Linked DNA regions of Macaca mulatta. The protein of the gene in region 1 interacts with the protein of each later gene in a pairwise test. Links are inferred from orthologs where the notes say so. Each region holds a gene or a part of one and is shown in the gene's direction. Other genes may lie near its edges. The genes, in order: AP2B1, NEU4, GTF2I and NUP54.

What was found.
Region 2: the proteins of AP2B1 (region 1) and NEU4 interact in binary tests that used the Homo sapiens proteins (3 or more experiments, as listed by UniProt). The two-hybrid records come from large-scale screens. The link is inferred for Macaca mulatta from reciprocal best matches to the Homo sapiens genes AP2B1 and NEU4.
Region 3: the proteins of AP2B1 (region 1) and GTF2I interact in binary tests that used the Homo sapiens proteins (3 or more experiments, as listed by UniProt). The link is inferred for Macaca mulatta from reciprocal best matches to the Homo sapiens genes AP2B1 and GTF2I.
Region 4: the proteins of AP2B1 (region 1) and NUP54 interact in binary tests that used the Homo sapiens proteins (3 or more experiments, as listed by UniProt). The two-hybrid records come from large-scale screens. The link is inferred for Macaca mulatta from reciprocal best matches to the Homo sapiens genes AP2B1 and NUP54.

The regions. Positions count from the first base shown.
Region 1 is NC_133421.1:45,057,560-45,062,801, forward strand, and holds the start of AP2B1 (AP-2 complex subunit beta), read left to right. Parts: upstream 1-1,833; 5' UTR 1,834-2,193; intron 2,194-5,242. UniProt on the Homo sapiens protein: Component of the adaptor protein complex 2 (AP-2). Adaptor protein complexes function in protein transport via transport vesicles in different membrane traffic pathways.
Region 2 is NC_133417.1:147,099,475-147,103,577, forward strand, and holds the end of NEU4 (sialidase-4), read left to right. Parts: intron 1-369; coding exon 370-576; intron 577-753; coding exon 754-1,009; intron 1,010-1,807; coding exon 1,808-2,805; 3' UTR 2,806-3,154; downstream 3,155-4,103. UniProt on the Homo sapiens protein: Exo-alpha-sialidase that catalyzes the hydrolytic cleavage of the terminal sialic acid (N-acetylneuraminic acid, Neu5Ac) of a glycan moiety in the catabolism of glycolipids, glycoproteins and oligosacharides.
Region 3 is NC_133408.1:52,147,796-52,152,965, forward strand, and holds the start of GTF2I (general transcription factor II-I), read left to right. Parts: upstream 1-1,889; 5' UTR 1,890-2,319; coding exon 2,320-2,800; intron 2,801-4,890; exon of another isoform or gene 4,891-4,947; intron 4,948-5,170. UniProt on the Homo sapiens protein: Interacts with the basal transcription machinery by coordinating the formation of a multiprotein complex at the C-FOS promoter, and linking specific signal responsive activator complexes.
Region 4 is NC_133410.1:57,699,083-57,703,023, forward strand, and holds the end of NUP54 (nucleoporin p54), read left to right. Parts: intron 1-1,867; coding exon 1,868-1,996; 3' UTR 1,997-2,697; downstream 2,698-3,941. UniProt on the Homo sapiens protein: Component of the nuclear pore complex, a complex required for the trafficking across the nuclear membrane.

The DNA.
Region 1 (5,242 bases):
CCAAAAGGTGAAAAGAAGGGAGATTGGTCAATACTTTCACCTAAAAGTGGAAGAGAATGAGGTTGGAAAAGCTTTTCGATTGATGCTGTATTTTGAAAATAGCATTGGTTCATTTTTCCTTAAAATATATGCATTTTTCAGAGAAAGGATTGGAAAATAAAACAAATATAAAGAAGATAACATTTGTAATCAGCACCCAGAGAGAACCACTAATAGGTATATATACGCCTCTGGATTTAGAGTTTTGTATCTTTCTTTTATTCTTATCATTTCAAAGCATTTTTCTGTATCATATTTTTCAACAATATGATTTAAAAGGCACATCCCAATCATATAAATAAATACATGTTCATTGTATTTGAAAAGTACAGAAAAATATTAGGAAGAAAAGTAAAACTCTCACTATTCCGCAATAACCACTTTTAACATTGTGCTGAATATCCAAGCTTTTTTTTTTTTTTTTTTTTTTTTTTTGAGACGAGTCTGGTTTTGTTACCCAGGCTGGAGTGCAGTGGCGAGATCTTGGCTCACTGCAACCTCCACCTCCTGGGATCACGTCATTCTCCTGCTTCAGCCTCCTGAGTAGCCGGGATTATAGGCATGTGCCACCACACCAGCTAATTTTTGTTTTTTCAGTAGAGACGGGGTTTCACCACATTGGCCAGGCTGGTCTCAAACTCTTGACCTCAGGTGATCTGCCCACCTCAGTCTCCTAAAGGGCTGGGATTACAGGTGTGAGCCACCATGACTGGCCTATCCTAGCCTTTTTTTTCTATACATATATAGTCATACCATATACTATATTGTTTTGTATCCTATTTTTACTTAACACTTTATGAATTTTCTGTCATAAAATATTCTATAACATTATGCAGCTATCTGATTTACCATAAGTGTTTACATTATCTCTCTTTATACCTGGCTTTCCAATTTCCCCTATTCCTCTATTTTAATAACAGGAAATAATAATACATGAGTATGTTATACAAAATTTTAATGTACTTCTGATCACTTTTTTAAGAATGAAGTTTTAAAATACTTAAACACTTTCTGACTCACAGAGTTCATGGGCAAAATGTGAGAAAAATAAATAATCACTTTGCTCTCCATCCTTCCTTACACCCTGAAATTAACCTTAGGGACAGCTAGTTCATTTAACCTCATCAATCTTGTTCTCCAGTTCCAGGTCCTGGAATCTAGGTCTTAGTTTCCGAAAGAAACTTACTTTTGTGTAAGCACACCTATTATATACTAGGCACTTGACCTAATTTATCTGGTTTACGCTTCACATGCCCGAGAGAGATACTATCATTGTCTTCATTTCACAGATAAGAAGATTGAGGAGACATTAACTTTCCCAGTCACATTCAGGGTAGGGATTCAAACTCACATCCAATGCCTCCTCAACCTCTTTTACCTGCACCACTATCCTCTAGCCCCACTGCCCGTATATAGCCCTGGGTTATATCACCATTGTCCGCTCTTGAGCCTGGAAGGAAAATGAGCTGAGGGGTTTTGTTTTTTCACAAAGGAACAGGATATTTCATCATCTCTGTGTTTACGTTTTTCAGAGAATTTCTGTGCGAGGTAACAAATCCATTGTCAGCGTTTTAAATATATTCCTTTGGAGTAGCCACTTAACATCCTCTGAGGCCCAGATGGGCCAGCTTTGCTGGGACCATGGGAAATGTTTGGGGCTGGAAGGCGACAGAGATTACCGCCTTGCTAGGTCTCCCGCGCACCCCGATGACGTCACGCGGCGAGGTTCTCTGACGTCAGAGTTTCCTGCCCACCATCTTTGTCCCTGGCAAAGTGGGTTTTGCGCAGTGGCTTAGACCTAGAAAAGAATCGTGACGGGCAGGAAACCATTACACCACCACCCGGGCTGTGCTCTCCGGCTCCCGCCGCCACCCCCGCCCTCGACTTCGCCTCCGCCTCCGGTGAGTTCAGGGAGGCTGCCTTTGGGGTGTGTCCCTAATTGACGGGGTGGGGGACGAAAAGAAGGGGAACCCCAGGCTGGGTCGAGGACCGGCGGAAGCGAGGATATCCTAAGAGCGTGACCGTTGAGGATACAGGGAACCGTCGGGTGTGACCAGTGAGAGGAAAAAGGTTGGAGAAAGGGTCTCCACCATGATGACTGTGGTGCGGTGAGGGAATCCTCGGGTGTGGCAGCAAGTAGTTGGGGGCATGAGGGTAAGATGTACTTCGGAATTGGGGGTTTAGGAGGACCAGAGGCCAGGGGTGTGGCTGATAGAGCCTGGAGGCCGTGGGGGGAACCGTCTTTCTTCCCCGCTCGGCGTCGTTCACTAAGAGTCACTAAGAGTCTGAGACGTGTCCAGCAAAAGCGAAAGGGAAAAACCCGTTTGCTCATTGATGGGCGAACGTCGTCTGTCCAGTAACTTGAGGGTAAGAGACAACCTCTTCCCTGCTCCGTAATGGAGGAGCATATCGCTAGAATCTTGACCACTTGGGGAAAGAAGAGGCATTCCTGACTCTTGGAGGAAGAGTAACCTCCAGAATTGACCCGATGTAAGAGAGGGGGAAGCAAATGGGGGTAAATCTTAACCCACCTTTTTTTTTTTTTTTTCTTCTTTTTCTGGGCTCTGCGGGAATGGTCTGGCTTGGGAAAGGCTGTAGATTAAGCTGAAAGTAAAGAAACTGGAACTTACTGTTATTTCCTTATCATTTGAATCCAAATAATTTGTTCATGCTGCTTATTTTCAAGAGCAGTCTTCTGTTGGAGGGGTGGGGTGGGGGGACAGGCTTTCATTGAACTCACGCGGATGCTTCATTAAACGTTTGACTTTTATTTTATTTTATTTTTATATTTTCAGTGACAGGGTCTTACTGTGTTGCCCAGTCTAGTCTAGAACCCCTGGGCTCAAGCGATCCTCCCTATTCGGCCTCCCACAGTGCTGTGATTACAGGCGTGAGCCAGAGCGCCCAGCCAAACTTGACTTTTGAAAAGAAAAAATGTTTTGAAAACCGCCAAAGACTTATCGTAACCATTGTGGTTTAAAAGAAAATGCATTAAACTTACAAAGGCAGAATGACTAAGAAAGAAGGTGGTCTCAATGAGAATCAATTTAAATTATTAATTACCTTCCTTGTATACTTGAATTGCTTAGCCTCAGGGTACACTTACAAAGTAATAATAGAAAGTAGCAGATGAAGGAGGTGCAGCTCTATAAGAAAACGTGTAACACATTCCAGTGATGACTAAGCGTGCTGGTAAGGTGAGAACTGTTTGCAGGTATCTTAACCGTTGAAACTTTCAAGGAAGCAGAAAGGGTGATGTATAATGCAAGCATCCTCACTAAAAGCTGGGTGGTAAAATCAATATAAATCTAATATTCTGACTGTATATGAAGAAACTCAAGTCCAGTTCTTTCATTCTTTCCGTCCTTAAAAGATCCATATTTTGAAGTACTAACTTTTTAGGCACAGGTTTGAACCAAGCTGAGCAAGGAATATATTAAATAGGGCACCTTCTCCTTTCTCTTGTCCTTTCTTTCCTTCCAGGCTTAAGTTTTCCAGAGTTTAATGTTATTTTGGTTAAGAATTAGATGTAAAACTTTTGAACTCCTTTGCTTCTATATAATATTAAGAAGCTACTTTGTAGTCTAAGTAGAAATCACAGGTGATTTTAGCTTTTGTGTCGTAATTTCTTATGAGAAAAATAATACCTGATGATGCTATTGTCTTTGCATTATTACTGAATATTTGATTAGAAATGAATTTGGCACCTCTCACCCTTACAATAAAAGATTACTGGAATGACATTTCTGCTTTATAATTTGGTTAACTTTGTTCTGTTTTTTACTGTGAGCACTGAGCTTTGTAAAATCCAACTTTGTGAAAAGAAGGGTTTAGGGACTTTACGAACTAATTTGGCTTCCCAGAGAGCCATTTGAATTAAGATCCTATTAATTTTTTTTGACCTTATTCTACCCAAGGTATTAATCTTATTTTGCTGCTCAATTTCTCTTTTAGGGAACTGGAGGGAGGTATAGGAGAGGAGGGACTTTGACAACCTATATTTCATAGAAACTAGGTTATGTTAAATCTGGATATGTAATCCTGTGCAGGGAGGCCTACTCCGAAATGCAGTGACATCACACTCTGGTCAGGGCAAGTAAGAGTGATTATGTGCTTTGACTCTGGCAGCTTTGTTGTTTAACAATGGCCTTAGGCCATATCATAAATCCTCAGAACAGCCGTGACTTGTCTGGTTTGATCTGGTAGAAAGGTAGTGTTAGTTCAAATTCCGTCATGGCTTTGCTTATTTCTCTGGCTCTTCTGAAGGAACATTTTCTCCCCCAAAGGAGCAGCTTGATTTTTGAGGCACTTCAGCAAATATTTGAGTTTTTTTGTTTTTTTTTTTCTTGAGCTCTATTTTGTTTACTTTTTCTGTTACTTCTAATGAAGATGTCAGTTTTTGCCATCCTGTATTTTGGAGACTCTGGCTATGTCCATATCTAGCATGTGATTAAATGTGTCTCTCATTATATGAGGTAAGAACTCACTATATGAGAGATACACTTAATCATATATATGTGATTATTTTTTTGAGGTGAAATTCACGTACCATAAAATGAACCAGCTTAAGGCATACAGTTCAGTGGAATTTAGTACACTGACAGTGTTGTGCAACAATCACGTCTTCTATTTGTTTTTATTTAGACGATTTTCATTTTTCTTGGAGTTTCTTTTGGCTTAAGGCAACAACCAGCTTGGCACCATGTTTCTCTGCCAATATGGATAGGGAATATTGTTTACAATAGTGTTGCTTACTACAGTGATATCCCTTCTCTTTAGAGCAGCAGGGACTCTTAATTTAGAATCTATGTTATGGGCTTCTAAAGATACTTGACCCTCCTCTCTTCCCTGAAATTTTGTGGGTGGGTGCATTATTTTCTAGTTAAGATGAAAACACTTAATGCTCACAGTGAACAGGACAGTAATATATTCCTTGACATTGAAATTGTTACAGATAATGAAATATGTGAGCTGTTAAAGGCATGACTTAAGACTTAGGTTAATTTATTGTTTAATAGAATGTAGTGAAAATTCCTGTAAAGAATTTACTCATGCCTGTAATCCGAGCACTTTGGGAGGCCGAGGTTGATGGATCACTTGATGTCAGGAGTTCCAGACGAGCCTGGCTAACAAGGAAAACCCCCTCTCTACTAAAATACAAAAATTAGCCGGGCATGGTAGTGGGTGCCTGTAGTCCCCGCTA
Region 2 (4,103 bases), on another chromosome or scaffold:
GTCCACATGACCTCCTGCTGGGTGAATTCCGGGATGACCCTGTGTCCTGGGCACATGGCTGGCAGGGTCCCGGGGCTCTCCGGCCAGCCTCCCCTGCACCTCCGCACCAACTAGCCTGGCCGAGGGTCAACTCCCAGAGCCGTGTTGAGAGGGGAAGGTCTGATTCCATAGACATTTGGGGTACAGGGGTTGTGAGGGTGGACTGGGGAGGGGCTGCTCCAGATCTGGGGTGAGGGAGTCAGAAACAGGCCTGACCCCAAGGTGGGTACAGGAAGAGCCCTAGGTGTGGGCAGGAGCTGTCTGCACCTCCTGAGCCCCTTCCCCACTCCCTGGGCCTGCCTTGCTGACCTGTGGCCCTGTACTGACCAGCAGAGCATGGGGGCCCCTCATACCCCTTCACGGACAGTGCTCTTTGAGCGGGAGAGGACCGGCCTGACCTACCGCGTGCCCTCGCTGCTCCCTGTGCCCCCCGGGCCCACCCTGCTGGCCTTTGTGGAGCAGCGGCTCAGCCCCGATGACTCCCATGCCCACCGCCTGGTGCTGAGGAGGGGCACGCGGGCCGGGGGCTCCGTGCGGGTGAGTGGCCGGGCCCACTGGGGCTGCACACCCAGGGACAGGGGCGGGGGTGGCGGTGGCAGGCGGGTGCCCGAGATAGAGATGAGCAAACCAGGCTCAGCTGTCTCGGGTGCCCCACGGGGGGCTGTGCCCAGGTCCCTGGACATCCTAGTCAGTGGCACTTCCTCCTCTGGGCAGTGGGGCGCCCTGCAGGTGCTGGGGACAGCAGCCCTGGCAGAGCACCGGTCCATGAACCCCTGCCCCGTGCACGACACTGGCACAGGCACCGTCTTCCTCTTCTTCATCGCGGTGCTGGGCCACACGCCCGAGGCCGTGCAGATCGCCACGGGAAGGAACGCCGCACGCCTCTGCTACGTGGCCAGCCGTGACGCCGGCCTCTCGTGGGGCAGCGCCCGGGACCTCACCGAGGAGGCCATTGGTGGTGCCGTGCAGGGTAGGCGGGCAGGGTGCCAGTCTGGGTCCCTCGGATTGGCCACGGTCCACATGGAAGGGAGATTCCAGCTGGAAATGTCCATTCTGCCCCACCCCCGCCCCTGCCTCCAGCCATAAGGGAACCAACCAGCCCTCTCCCCAGGACTGTCCTGGGCCTCCCGTCCCAGGCAAATGGGTACTGGTCGCCACCCAGTCCATCCGGTGGGCAGGAGCAGGCCCTCTATGGCTGATCAGACTCTCATCCCCCCAGGTCATCCCTTTATCTGCAGAGGAGAAGGCTGAATGCTGAGGTGTCTCTCAGCTCCCAAACCAACAGCCACCCTGCCCCACCCCTTCCTCTTATTCTTTACTCCCTTCTCACCCCGCCTAGGGCCTGGCCAGGCCTCGCCACAGCTTTCCCTCCACCCCGTCCTCTGTGGCCACCTGACCCTGGCCTGTGGGAGCCACAGCAGGGAGTGGAGCAGATACATGGCGGAGCCCAGGACCCCACCGCAGGGCCTCACTCCCCCTGCCCGCCCTCCGCTGTATCTGTATGGGCAGTGCTCGCCAGCCTCCCTGGGTGCTGTCCACCTGGGCGCGGGGGCTAAGGGCTGGGAGAGGCTTGTCAGCCTGGGAGGACTCAGGGCGGCTGCAATGAGTTGTGTGGAAGGGTGGTCAGAGTGTGATGGTCCTAACCCGAGGCACCAGCCCCTCCTTCCCCGACCCCTGTGCCTTCCCCGACCCCTGTGCCTTCCTCCATCCGCCCCCCCCAACCTCGGGGACTCAGCAGCCCCTCCCACCTCCGCCCTCCTCCCCACAGACTGGGCCACGTTCGCCGTGGGTCCCGGCCACGGCGTGCAGCTGCCCTCAGGCCGCCTGCTGGTGCCCGCCTACACCTACCGCGTGGACCGCCGAGAGTGTTTTGGCAAGATCTGCCGGACCAGCCCCCACTCCTTCGCCTTCTACAGCGATGACCACGGCCGCACCTGGCGCTGTGGAGGCCTCGTGCCCAACCTGCGCTCGGGCGAGTGCCAGCTGGCGGCAGTGGATGGTGGACAGGCCGGCAGCTTCCTCTACTGCAATGCCCGGAGCACCCTGGGCAGCCGCGTGCAGGCACTCAGCACTGACGAGGGCACCTCCTTCCTGCCCGCAGAGCGTGTGGCTTCCCTGCCTGAGACCGCCTGGGGCTGCCAGGGCAGCATCGTGGGCTTCCCAGCCCCCGCCCCCAGCAGGCCACGGGATGACGGTTGGTCAGTGGGCCCCGGGAGTCCCCTTCACCCTCCACGCCTTGGTCCTGGAGTCCATGAACCCCCAGAGGAGGCTGCCGGAGACCCCCATGGAGCCCAGGTGCCTGGTGGGCCCTGCAGCCATCTGCAGCCTCAGGGGGATGGCCCCAGGCAGCCTGGCCCCAGGCCTGGGGTCAGTGGGGATGTGGGGTCCTGGACCCTAGCGCTCCCCATGCCCTTTGCTGCCCCACCCCAGAGCCCCACGTGGCTGCTGTACTCCCACCCAGTGGGGCGCAGGGCTCGGCTGCACATGGGTATCCGGCTGAGCCAGGCCCCGCTGGACCCGCACAGCTGGACAGAGCCCTGGGTGATCTACGAGGGCCCCAGCGGCTACTCCGACCTGGCGTCCGTCGGGCCGGCCCCTGAGGGGGGCCTGGTTTTTGCCTGCCTGTACGAGAGTGGGGCCAGGACCTCCTATGATGAGATTTCCTTTTGCACATTCTCCCTACGTGAGGTCCTGGAGAACGTGCCCACCAGCCCCGAGCCGCCCAACCTTGGGGACAAGCCTCGGGGGTGCTGCTGGCCCTCCTGACAGGCCTTCTGGCCGTGCCCATGCCCCTTGGGTGCCTGGGGCAGAGGGGTGGAATATGCTGGGGTGCCCCAGGATGGATGTGGGGGGGCTCTTAGTGCAGAATCCTGTGGATTAGAAGCAAGTTTCTCCTCAGAGTTCTCAAGCAGGGGTTGCTCTTCGAGAAGGGGAACAGCGGCTGGGAGTGAGCAGGGCAGGGTAGGGGCAGGAAGTGGGCCCTGGGCGACCCCCCACAGCTCCCTCCCGAGGCTGCAGGGTCAGGCGCAGGACTGCAGGTAGCCCAGGGTGTTGTGGGTGGCAGCACTTGCTTGCTGGCTGCTTTCTGGCTCGAAATAAAGGAATCGTGCTTGTGTCGGGGTAGACGTTTCTTTCCTTTTCAGGTTCCAGCCCTGGGGAAGGGAGCTCTGCTCTAACCCGCTTCTCTGACCCTCATCCCAAAATCTCATTGCCTTGGCAAAGCTCTGCTTCTAAACATCCCGGGGCCAGCAGAGGGAGGGCAGGAGGGAGGAAGCGGCTTCCACCCTTGGCCTCCTGTGCGGTGATTTGCAAGTGGTCTGCCGCACTCTCTGAACTTCCTACCAGAGGAGTAGGAGGTAGGGCCTCTCCCCGCAGAGCTGGACACCAGGAGGGGGTCACCTTCCAGGACCAGCCCTGTGTCCCGCTCCCCTGACCCCACCCTGCAGAGGGCTTGGGCACCACTGGGGCTGTTTCCCCAGGGAAGTTCCTTTTTATTTATTCTCCTTTTAAAGTCTTAATTTCTGATGACAAAAGCAATATGTGCTTACTGTAGAAAATCTGGAAAATGAGCCGGGCACAGTGGCTCACGCCTATAATCCCAGCACTTTGGGAGGTCGAGGCAGGTGGATCACCTGAGGTCAGGAATTCGAGACCAGCTTGGCCAACGTGGTGAAATCTCGTCTCTACTAAAAATACAAAAATTAGCTGGGCATCGTGGTGGGCACCTGTAATCTCAGCTACTTGGGAGGCTGAGGCAGGAGAATCACTTTAACCTAGGAGGCGGAGGTTGCAGTGAGCCAAGATTGTGCCACTGCACTCCAGCCTGGGCGACAGAGTGAGACTCAAAAAAAAAAAAAAAAAAAAAAAGAAAGAAAGAAAGAAAAAAAGAAAATCTGGAAAATGTAGAAAGCTATAAAGAAAATATAAAGAAAAAATAGAAGTGAGCCCTGGGCCCCTCTCTCCACGGGCCCTTCCTTCTGGCTTCAAGTGCTCCTGCCCAGCCTGCTGCCACACCCGTGGACGACGGCCCGGCCGGGGGGTGCACACGTGTGCCACCTTCTTCC
Region 3 (5,170 bases), on another chromosome or scaffold:
TTTACTTTTCATTGTAAATGCTACCTTCTTTCTTTCTTCTTTTTCTTTCTTTCTTTCTTTTCTTTTCTTTTTTTTTTGAGATGGACTCTTGCTCTATTGCCCAGGTTGGAGTGCAGTGGCACTATCTCGGCTCACTGCAAGCTCCGCCTCACGGTTACACGCCGTTCTCCTGCCTCAGCCTCCTGAGTAGCTGGGAATACAGGTGCCCGCCACCATACCTGGCTGATTTTTTGTATTTTTAGTAGAGACAGGGTTTCACCATGTTAGCCAGGATGGTCTTGATCTGCTGACCTTATGATCCGCCCATCTCGTCCTCCCAAAGCGCTGGGATTACAGGCGTGAGCCACTGTGCCCAGCTGCAAATGCTACTTTCTCCATGAAAAATTGTCTGCTTTGTGTGTAGCTTTCTTGTGCCATCTTGACACATTTACCTGAGTGCATATTGTATTTGATTCATTTGTCATATCTGCTTGAATCAGATGGTTATTACTGGTGAATGGACAACAGTAGTTAAGAATTCAGGCTTTGGATCCGAGCAGGTTTAGACCAAAATCTGATTGTGCCATCTGTGTATCCCAGGCTGAGTACTGAGCCTTTCTGAGCCTCTTTAGCATGGGAGTGGAGGGGCATTCGGTGCACTTGCCACAGAGGCAGCAAGCAATGAGATAATCTATTAAGTGTCGAGCCTGGTGCGTGGCTCTGAAGGACTGCTCAATACATGTGAGCCATGATCACACATTTCTGGAGGGCACAGATGGTCTTGCAGGCTTTCCAGAATATAGTAGGTGTTCAGATTCTTTCCTGATACTCATTGGTGCCCCTCACTTCCTTCCATTATCCGGGTCAGACTGAGTTCATCTGGGATTGGAAAACACAGCAGGCTGGTATGAATGAAGTCAGCCTACAGCCCCAGGTACAAGCCAGAGCTTGGTCAGCCCCCTCCCTAGGTTTAGGGGGAAGGGAATGGATAATTAACACCTTCTCACTGCTGGGAAAACAATGAAAAGTACTTGTTACACTGATAATGGGTTAATTTCTTTTTCTCTTTTCTTTTTTTCAGACAGTTTCACTCTGTTGCCCAGGCTGGAGTGCAGTGGCATGATCTCAGCTCACTGCAACCTCCACCTCCCGGGTTTAGGCGATTCTCCTGCCTCAGCCTCCCAAGTAACTGGGATTACAGGCACCTGCCACCATGCCCGGCTAATTATTGTATTTCTAGTAAAGACGGGGTTTCACCATGTTGGCCAGGCTGGTCTTGAACTCCTGACCTCAGATGATCCAGCCGCCTTGGCCTCCCAAAGCGCTGGGATTACAGGTGCGAACCACCGCGCCCAGCCAGATGGTGGGTTAATTTCACTTTGAACAGCATCGTTCTGATTGGCTTTCCCTCCCCCTTCCAACCCATTGTTCAAAAATTCCCTTTATTCTTTGATGAAAACTTCCCCAAGTGGGTCATCTACCTTAAGTATACTAAACACCAGGTCTTGAAGGGGTTAAAAAAGGCTGCTATGATTCACCAGAAAAAGAGGAAAGGCTTGGTAAACGCAATGCTAAAGAATCAAGAAACTGGTGGTTAAGTCCACGGTGGAAACAAAAAGAGAAAAGGAAGGATGCAGGTATTTGTTGTCAGCATTTAACCTAGATTTTTCATCTCTTGATTTTATGATTATGTTGCAAGGCTATAGGTTGTCTCTATTATATATATCTATAGATATAGTCATATGGAATTGTTCTAACATCTATAACAATATACTGTAATAAAAGTTATGTGACTATGGTCTGTCTCCGTCTCTCTCTCAAAAATATCTTCTTGTACTGAACATAGCTATTTTTGGACCGCGGTTGACCGTGGGTAACTGAAACTGCAGAAAGCGAAACTGCAGATAAGAGGGGGAACTACGGTAGACGCCTCCCACCCGTTAGTCACTTGGGAGCCGTCTGGGTTATCAGATCGACTGTCTGCAAGTATTGCAGTGTTTGTGTTCAAGTCACCCTTTTCTTTTTTTTTTTTTTGAGACGGAGTCTCGCTCTGTCACCCAGGCTGGAGTGCGGTGGCCGGATCTCAGCTCACTGCAAGCTCCGCCTCCCGGGTTCACGCCATTCTCCTGCCTCAGCCTCCCGAGTAGCTGGGACTATAGGCGCCCGCCACCTCGCCCGGCTAGTTTTTTGTATTTTTCAGTAGAGACGGGGTTTCACCGTGTTAGCCAGGATGGTCTCGATCTCCTGACCTCGTGATCCGCCCGTCTCGGCCTCCCAAAGTGCTGGGATTACAGGCGTGAGCCACCACGCCCGGCCAAGTCACCCTTATTTTCTATCATAATGGCCCCAAAGCACAAGAGTAGTGATGCTGGGAATTTGGACAGGCCAAAGAGAAGCCGTAAAGTGCTCCCTCTAAGTGAAAAGGTGAAAGTTCTCGACTTAATCAGGAAAGAAAAAAAATCCTATGCTGAGGTTGCTAAGATCTACGGGAAGAATGAATCTTCCATCCGTGAAATTGTGAAGAAGGAAAAAGAAATTCGTGCTAGTTTTGCTGTCTCACCTCCAACTGCTAAAGTGACGGCCACGGTGCGTGATAAGTGCTTAGTTAAGATGGAACAGGCACTGCATTTGTGGGTGGAAGAGATGAACAGAAAACGTGTTCCCATTGACAGCAACGTGTTGTGCCAGAAAGCCTTGAGCCTATACCAAGACTTCAGCAAGGGATGCTCTGAAACTGACACCAAGCCATTTACTGCGAGTAAGGGATGGTTACACAGATTCAGGCATAGATTCTCACATCATTACAAGAAGAAGAAGAAGGGTGAGTACAGTACAAGTTATTTTGAGAGAGAGAGAGAGAGATCACATTCACCTCAGTACTTGCTATACTTGTTCCATTTTGTTATCATTGCTGTTAACTTCTTCCTGTGCCTAGTTGGATTTGGTATTATCCAAGGTTTCAGGCATCCACTGGCAGTCTCGGAATGTGTCCCCCACAGAAACAGGGGACTACTGTATTCACTCTCTCTCTCTCTTTTTAAATTTTTATTGTAGGTTCATGGGTACATATGCAGGTTTATTATACAGGTAAACTCGTGTCACCGGGGTTTGTTGTACAGATTATTTTGCCACCCGCGTACTAAGCCTATCCAATAGTTATTTTTTTTCTGCTCCTCATCCTTCTCCCACTGAGGCGGGCGGATCACCTGAGGTTGGGAGTTCGAGATCAGCCTGACCAACATGGAGAAACCCCGTCTCTACTAAAAATACAAAATTAGCCAGGCATGGTGGCGCATGGCTGTAATCCCAGCTACTCGGGAGGCTGAGGCAGGAGAATTGCTTGAACCCAGGAGGCAAAGGTTGCAGTAAGCCGAGATCGCGCCATTGCACTCCAGCCTGGGCAACAAGAGCGAAACTCTGTCTCAAAAAAAAAAAGAAAAGAAAAGAAAAGAAAAGAAACATGGAACATGGACTTTTTTCATATTTTTAAAAAGTTTTGAATGCTAAATAATACCATCTAATATTTATATAACACGTACCCAAGTTCATAAAGTATTTTCATCTACGTATCATCTGATTTCCCCAAATCCCTGAAGGAGGCAGAGAAAATACTATAGAGGTTTTATTTTTAACAACTTAAATTTAGAGCTTTATATTTAAAAACTTAAATTTAAAAACTTTAAAAAACGACAATGTTAACATAATCCTAAATAGCAGATAAAATTCATCTAAATCCTGCTACCCCAACAAAGAAAACTGTTTATTTCAACTGGTGCAACATGAATATTCGTTTTACTGTGTCGGCCAGATGCTCACACAAAAGGCAGAGCTAGAGCTGGAAGGTCTATTTAGATCACATCTACATTATTAATTGTTATGAATAAATTATAACTTGGATTTAGGTTTTTTTTTTTCCACCTTTGGATGAATTCTAAGAACCATACATACTGGAAAAGATAGTCATTCATTCAGGATTCAAATTATTCAAACAAAAAACCGTTCAAAAACAGTGTTTTATAATCAGTATTAAAAAATATCATTGTGGTTGGATATGCTGGCTCATGCCTGTAATCCCAGCACTTTGGGAGGCCGAGGCGGGCAGATTATGAGGTCAGGAGTTCAAGACCAGCTTGACCAACATGGTGAAACCCTGTCTCTACTAAAAATACAAAAATTAGCTGAGTCTGGTGGCACACGCCTATAATCCTAGCTACTCGGAAGACTGAGACAGGAGAATCACTTGAACCCGGGAGCCAAGATTGCGCCATTGCACTCCAGCCTGGGCAACAGAGTGAGACTCAGTCTCAAAAAAAAAAGTATCATTGTAAGAACAAAGGAGTTATCTGCTAGAGTGTAGATACACATGTGACAGCCAAAGAGGTCTTGTGACCCTACTGAAGTGATCCGGGCAGGATTGTGCAAATCATAAATTGGAACAATGTCTACAGGATCAAAGTATTATCTTACAAATGATATTTTACATTCTGTTCTCAATATAAAGAATGTATAGTGTACTATGTACATTGTAAAGAAAAACCAAGAAATTGGACTTAGAAGATATTGGGCCTGTATCAATCAGAGTTCAACGAAAAAGACCTCTGGTATTCATCAAAAGTCATGCTCTGCTGTGGAATACAGATCTGTCAAGAGTATCTGGGCCAGGCCTGGTGGCTCACACCTGTAATCCCAGCACTTTGGGAGGCTGAGGTAGGCGGATCTCTTGAGCCCAGGAGTCCAAGACCAGCCTGGGCAACACGGTGAAACCCTGTCTCTACTAAAAATACAAAAAATTAGCTGAGTGTGGTGGTGTGCACCTGTAGTCCCAGCCATTTGGGAGGCTGAAGTGGGAGGACTGTTTGAGCCTGGGAGTTTGAGGCTGCAGTGAACCGAGATCTCGCCACTCTACGCCAGCCTGGACAACTGGAGTGAGAGATCCTGTCTCAAAACAAAAAGCAGAAAACAGAAAAACAGAGTATCTGAACTTTCACCAGAATTATGGTTTTGGGCAATCTGAAATATATGACTGAGGGCTGGGCACAGTGGCTGAAATGCAGTGGCAGCACTTTGGGAGTCCGAGGTGGATGGATCACCTGGGGTTAGGAGTTTGAGACCAGCCTGGCCAATATGACCAACATGGTGAAACCCCGTTTCTACTAAAAATCCAAAAATTAACCAGGTGTGGTGGTATGCA
Region 4 (3,941 bases), on another chromosome or scaffold:
ATCATTATTCACAATAGCCAAAATGTGGTGGTAACCCAAGAGTCAATCAAGGAATAGAGAAACAAAATGTAGTATATATACACACAGTGGAATATTATTCAGCCTTGAAAAAAGAAGGAAATTCTGACACACGCTACAGTGCAATTTGACCTTGAAGAAGTTGTGTTTCATGAAATAAGCCACTCGTAAAAGGGCAAATATTTATGATTTCACTTGTGAAAAGTACCTAGTAGTTCAATTAATAGAGAGTAGAAAGGTGGTTGCCAGGGTGTGAGGGGAGGAGGGGATGGGAGGAACTTAATTGGTACAGAATTTCAACTTGAGATGATGAAAAGTTCTGAACAAAATGGATAGTGTTGATTATTGCACAACAGCATAAGTATACTTAATGCCACTGAACTGTATACTTAAAAATAGTTACAGGCAAAATTTTATGGTGAGCCTGTTTTGCCACAATTTTAAAAAGGTGAAGTATCCCTCTCCTCACCAAAAAGATGAATTTAAGAGGTAATAGAGACACTACAGTTTACTAGACCTTGCTCCTTAAAGTGTAGGCAGTAACCGCACCTGGAAGGTCATTAAAAATGCAAAATTTCAGTCCTTACTCCAGATGTATTCGATCTGCATTTTATCAAGATCATAGAATGATTTGTATGCACTTTAAAGTTTGAGAAGCAACTGCTTTAGATAATACCTTCCCTGCCTATATGTCACACGTAAGTTATAAACATGTTGTTATTGATCTATCCCCTAAGCCCTCAGGAGATCTGGATGGAGGTAGGTTGAGGTGGCCAGAACCTCCAGCCACTCTTCTCGGGTTTTCACCTTGTGTGAAAAAGTTGGGAAACACTGCTTTGGCTTATTTTCATTAGTATAAATGCAGATTGGTTTAATGAAAATGAACAGTTGTATCTAAAGAAAATATATGAAGATGATGAACTTTGTGGAGCATACTAGGTAGCTAATGACTGTTGGCATGGCCCTGAGGATTTTAGATTAAGGTTATAAATGTCATCAACAAATCCAATTTTATTATATGCTTTAGAATGGATATGGCTGGTTTTATGTAACCAAAAACTAGTTTGGCTTCTAGATTCTTGGACATTACACAACCAATTATATTCCATTGTTTTAAGTATTTGCAATAAATTAACAGATTCCAGTATATTGTAATAGTTGTAGGTTGATATATGCAATAAAACTGAATAATTTAAACACTTGTCTTTTTTAAAATGATGAGCAGTGTATTGTTCAGGGATTGAATCATGGTTCACCATCTACTTTATGACCTTGGGTAGGTTATTTACCTGTAGTTTCTTTAACTGTGGATATGATAATGGTACCCCAAAGGGTGCTCAAAAGGATTTTAAATGAGTTGAACAAGTGAATACCAGTACTCACTATTAAAACAGCACCTTAACCCATAAGGAGGAGTCTTTAAAAAATGTTAGCATCTGTAGTCATCATCACCATTATCGCTATATACTTTGTACTTCAAAACATGAATATTCTCAGTTTTCAGAATGTTATTTTGTTAGTCATCTATATTTGAATACCTCCTTTGAGTTCTGTTTTATTATGCCTTTATTAAAAGTTGGTAAAAGGAAATAGCTATCTAAAAAACATTTTTGTTGGAAGATACTGTTCATTTTATATTTGTTTGATTTTATTGTTCTTTAGAGTTTGTCTTTCACTGTTAGCAAAAGATGTAGTACAAATGTTTAAATATGCATGCCCTCTATATTTAAAGCACTTACTAGGTACTGTGTTATTAGTAAAACAGTCAAAGTGGAGTCCTTTTTCCTGTGACTAGCTTGCAGTTTTAATAAATTAATACATTAATATGTTGTTTCTTAATTTGTTCTAGCATTTGAAACAACAACAGGAAGGCCTTAGCCATTTGATTAGCATCATTAAAGATGATCTAGAAGATATAAAGCTGGTCGAACATGGATTGAATGAAACCATCCACATCAGAGGTGGTGTCTTTAGTTGACAGTTCACAAACTTGTGTAAAGGTTTGTGAAATTCATCTTCTTACTGCATCAGCCCTTCCTTAAGAATGAAACCGACCACGTGGAGGGAAAAAGAAAACAATTCTCTCTTGGCTTGGTTTTTTGAGAAGTTTACTGACAAATTACTGTCCATCAAATCTGAAATACAGTCACCTCACAGCTCTTCAAAGAAAACCTTTGAAAGATTTATATCTAAAAGCTGTATTTACTTTAAAAGGAGAAGTGCATAATTACCAAAATTATATGTACTATTGTACATTTTTACAACAGCATTTTCTTGAACATCATCTGTTTAATGATTATTGTCCACTGAGCCTGTGCTCTGCTTTCCATACCAAGTAAATATGAAATAATCTTTGCACATAACAGAAGAAACTATAATTACTTGGCTGTTGGAGATTTGTACTTCAGAGTATAAATGTACACCAGTTTTTCTATTTGTGAACTCATCTGTGGGAGGAGTAAAGAAAATCCAAAAGCATTTAATGTTTTTTTTTTGTTCTATAAAGATTTGAAAATGTATTTTTATATTATTTTACTTATTTGGAATTTACAGAGCACACCTAAGCAATTAGGATATAACAAAATTAACCATTTTTGCAACCATTTTGTTTTTTAAGCCTTTTTATTTCTAAAAAGATGAAAACTTATAAATAAATTCTTAATTTGTAATTTTATAAAATTTTGTCTGGTGCTTTATTTGGCTTTTGAGGAATGACCATTTTTTGTCCACATAGGTACTAAATTAATAATCACAATTCAGGAATTTTAGTCTTAAGTCTGATTTTTCCCTCCTAGGGATTTTTGTCAGTGCTGATATAATCAGCACAATTTGATTAGGGTATGGCAAATAAAACTTACTTCAGATATCATCTAGTATTAAGAATTCCCTAATACGTCATTAATATTTGAAATACTAGAAAATCTGAGTTAAACAGATTAAATAGTGTTAAATAGTGGGTCTTTAACCAGTGGGTCATTTTAAACAGTATTTCTGACTACACACTGTATGTTTGGGCTGCATCATGTTTGCCGCTCTTGAGATGCTTTAACTTTGCACTTCTCTGTGATGCTTTGGTTTATATTGACAGGTGTTACAAGTAACAGCCCCATGAATCTTGGTATTGTATTTACTATGGGGATGGTGAACAGTGTGATGCACTGTATATCTGGAGTCCATCCTCTGAGAACCCACTGAAGAGATTTATGCTCAGTTGTATAGGTTACAGTTGTGTAGACTAGGATATTTTGTGGTTTTTGTTTGTTTGTTTGTTTGACAAGTCTCTCTGTCACCCAGGCTGGCGTACAGTGGCATAATCATGACTCACTGCAGCCTTGACCTCCTGGGCTTAAGCAGTTCTCCCACCTCAGACTCGAGTAACTGGGACTACAGGCATGCACCACCACAATGGGCTAATATTTTTTATTTTGTGTAGAGATGGGGTCTTGCTATGTTGCCCAGGCTGGTCTTGAACTCCTAGACTCCAGCAATCCTCCTGCCTTGGCTTGCCAGAGTGCTAGGATTACAGGCCTGAACCTCTATGCCTGGCCAAGACTAGGAACTTTAAAACTGATTGTTTCTTTCCAAATTGACTGCCAGAAGTATGCAGCTGCTTTTGCCAAGTTTATGGCATGTAAATTTGTTACACTACTACCCTCTCATCATTCTTTCCTATCCATTATACTGCAATACCAACGGTGTTGGGACAGGAATTTCTCTCCTTTTCCACATTTTCTCCATGGCCCAGAAGATCTGCATGTTCATCATTCTTACCCATGTAGCCAAGTATAGGAGTTTCTGTCCCTCTACACACCCCCTTATCGTAGGAAGAGTTGTTGGTCTAATTGATGAGAATTGTTACTCACTGAGCTATATAATCTAGCGGATGGATCACTCATGCATACCATGCTCGCTTCTCTAGCCTC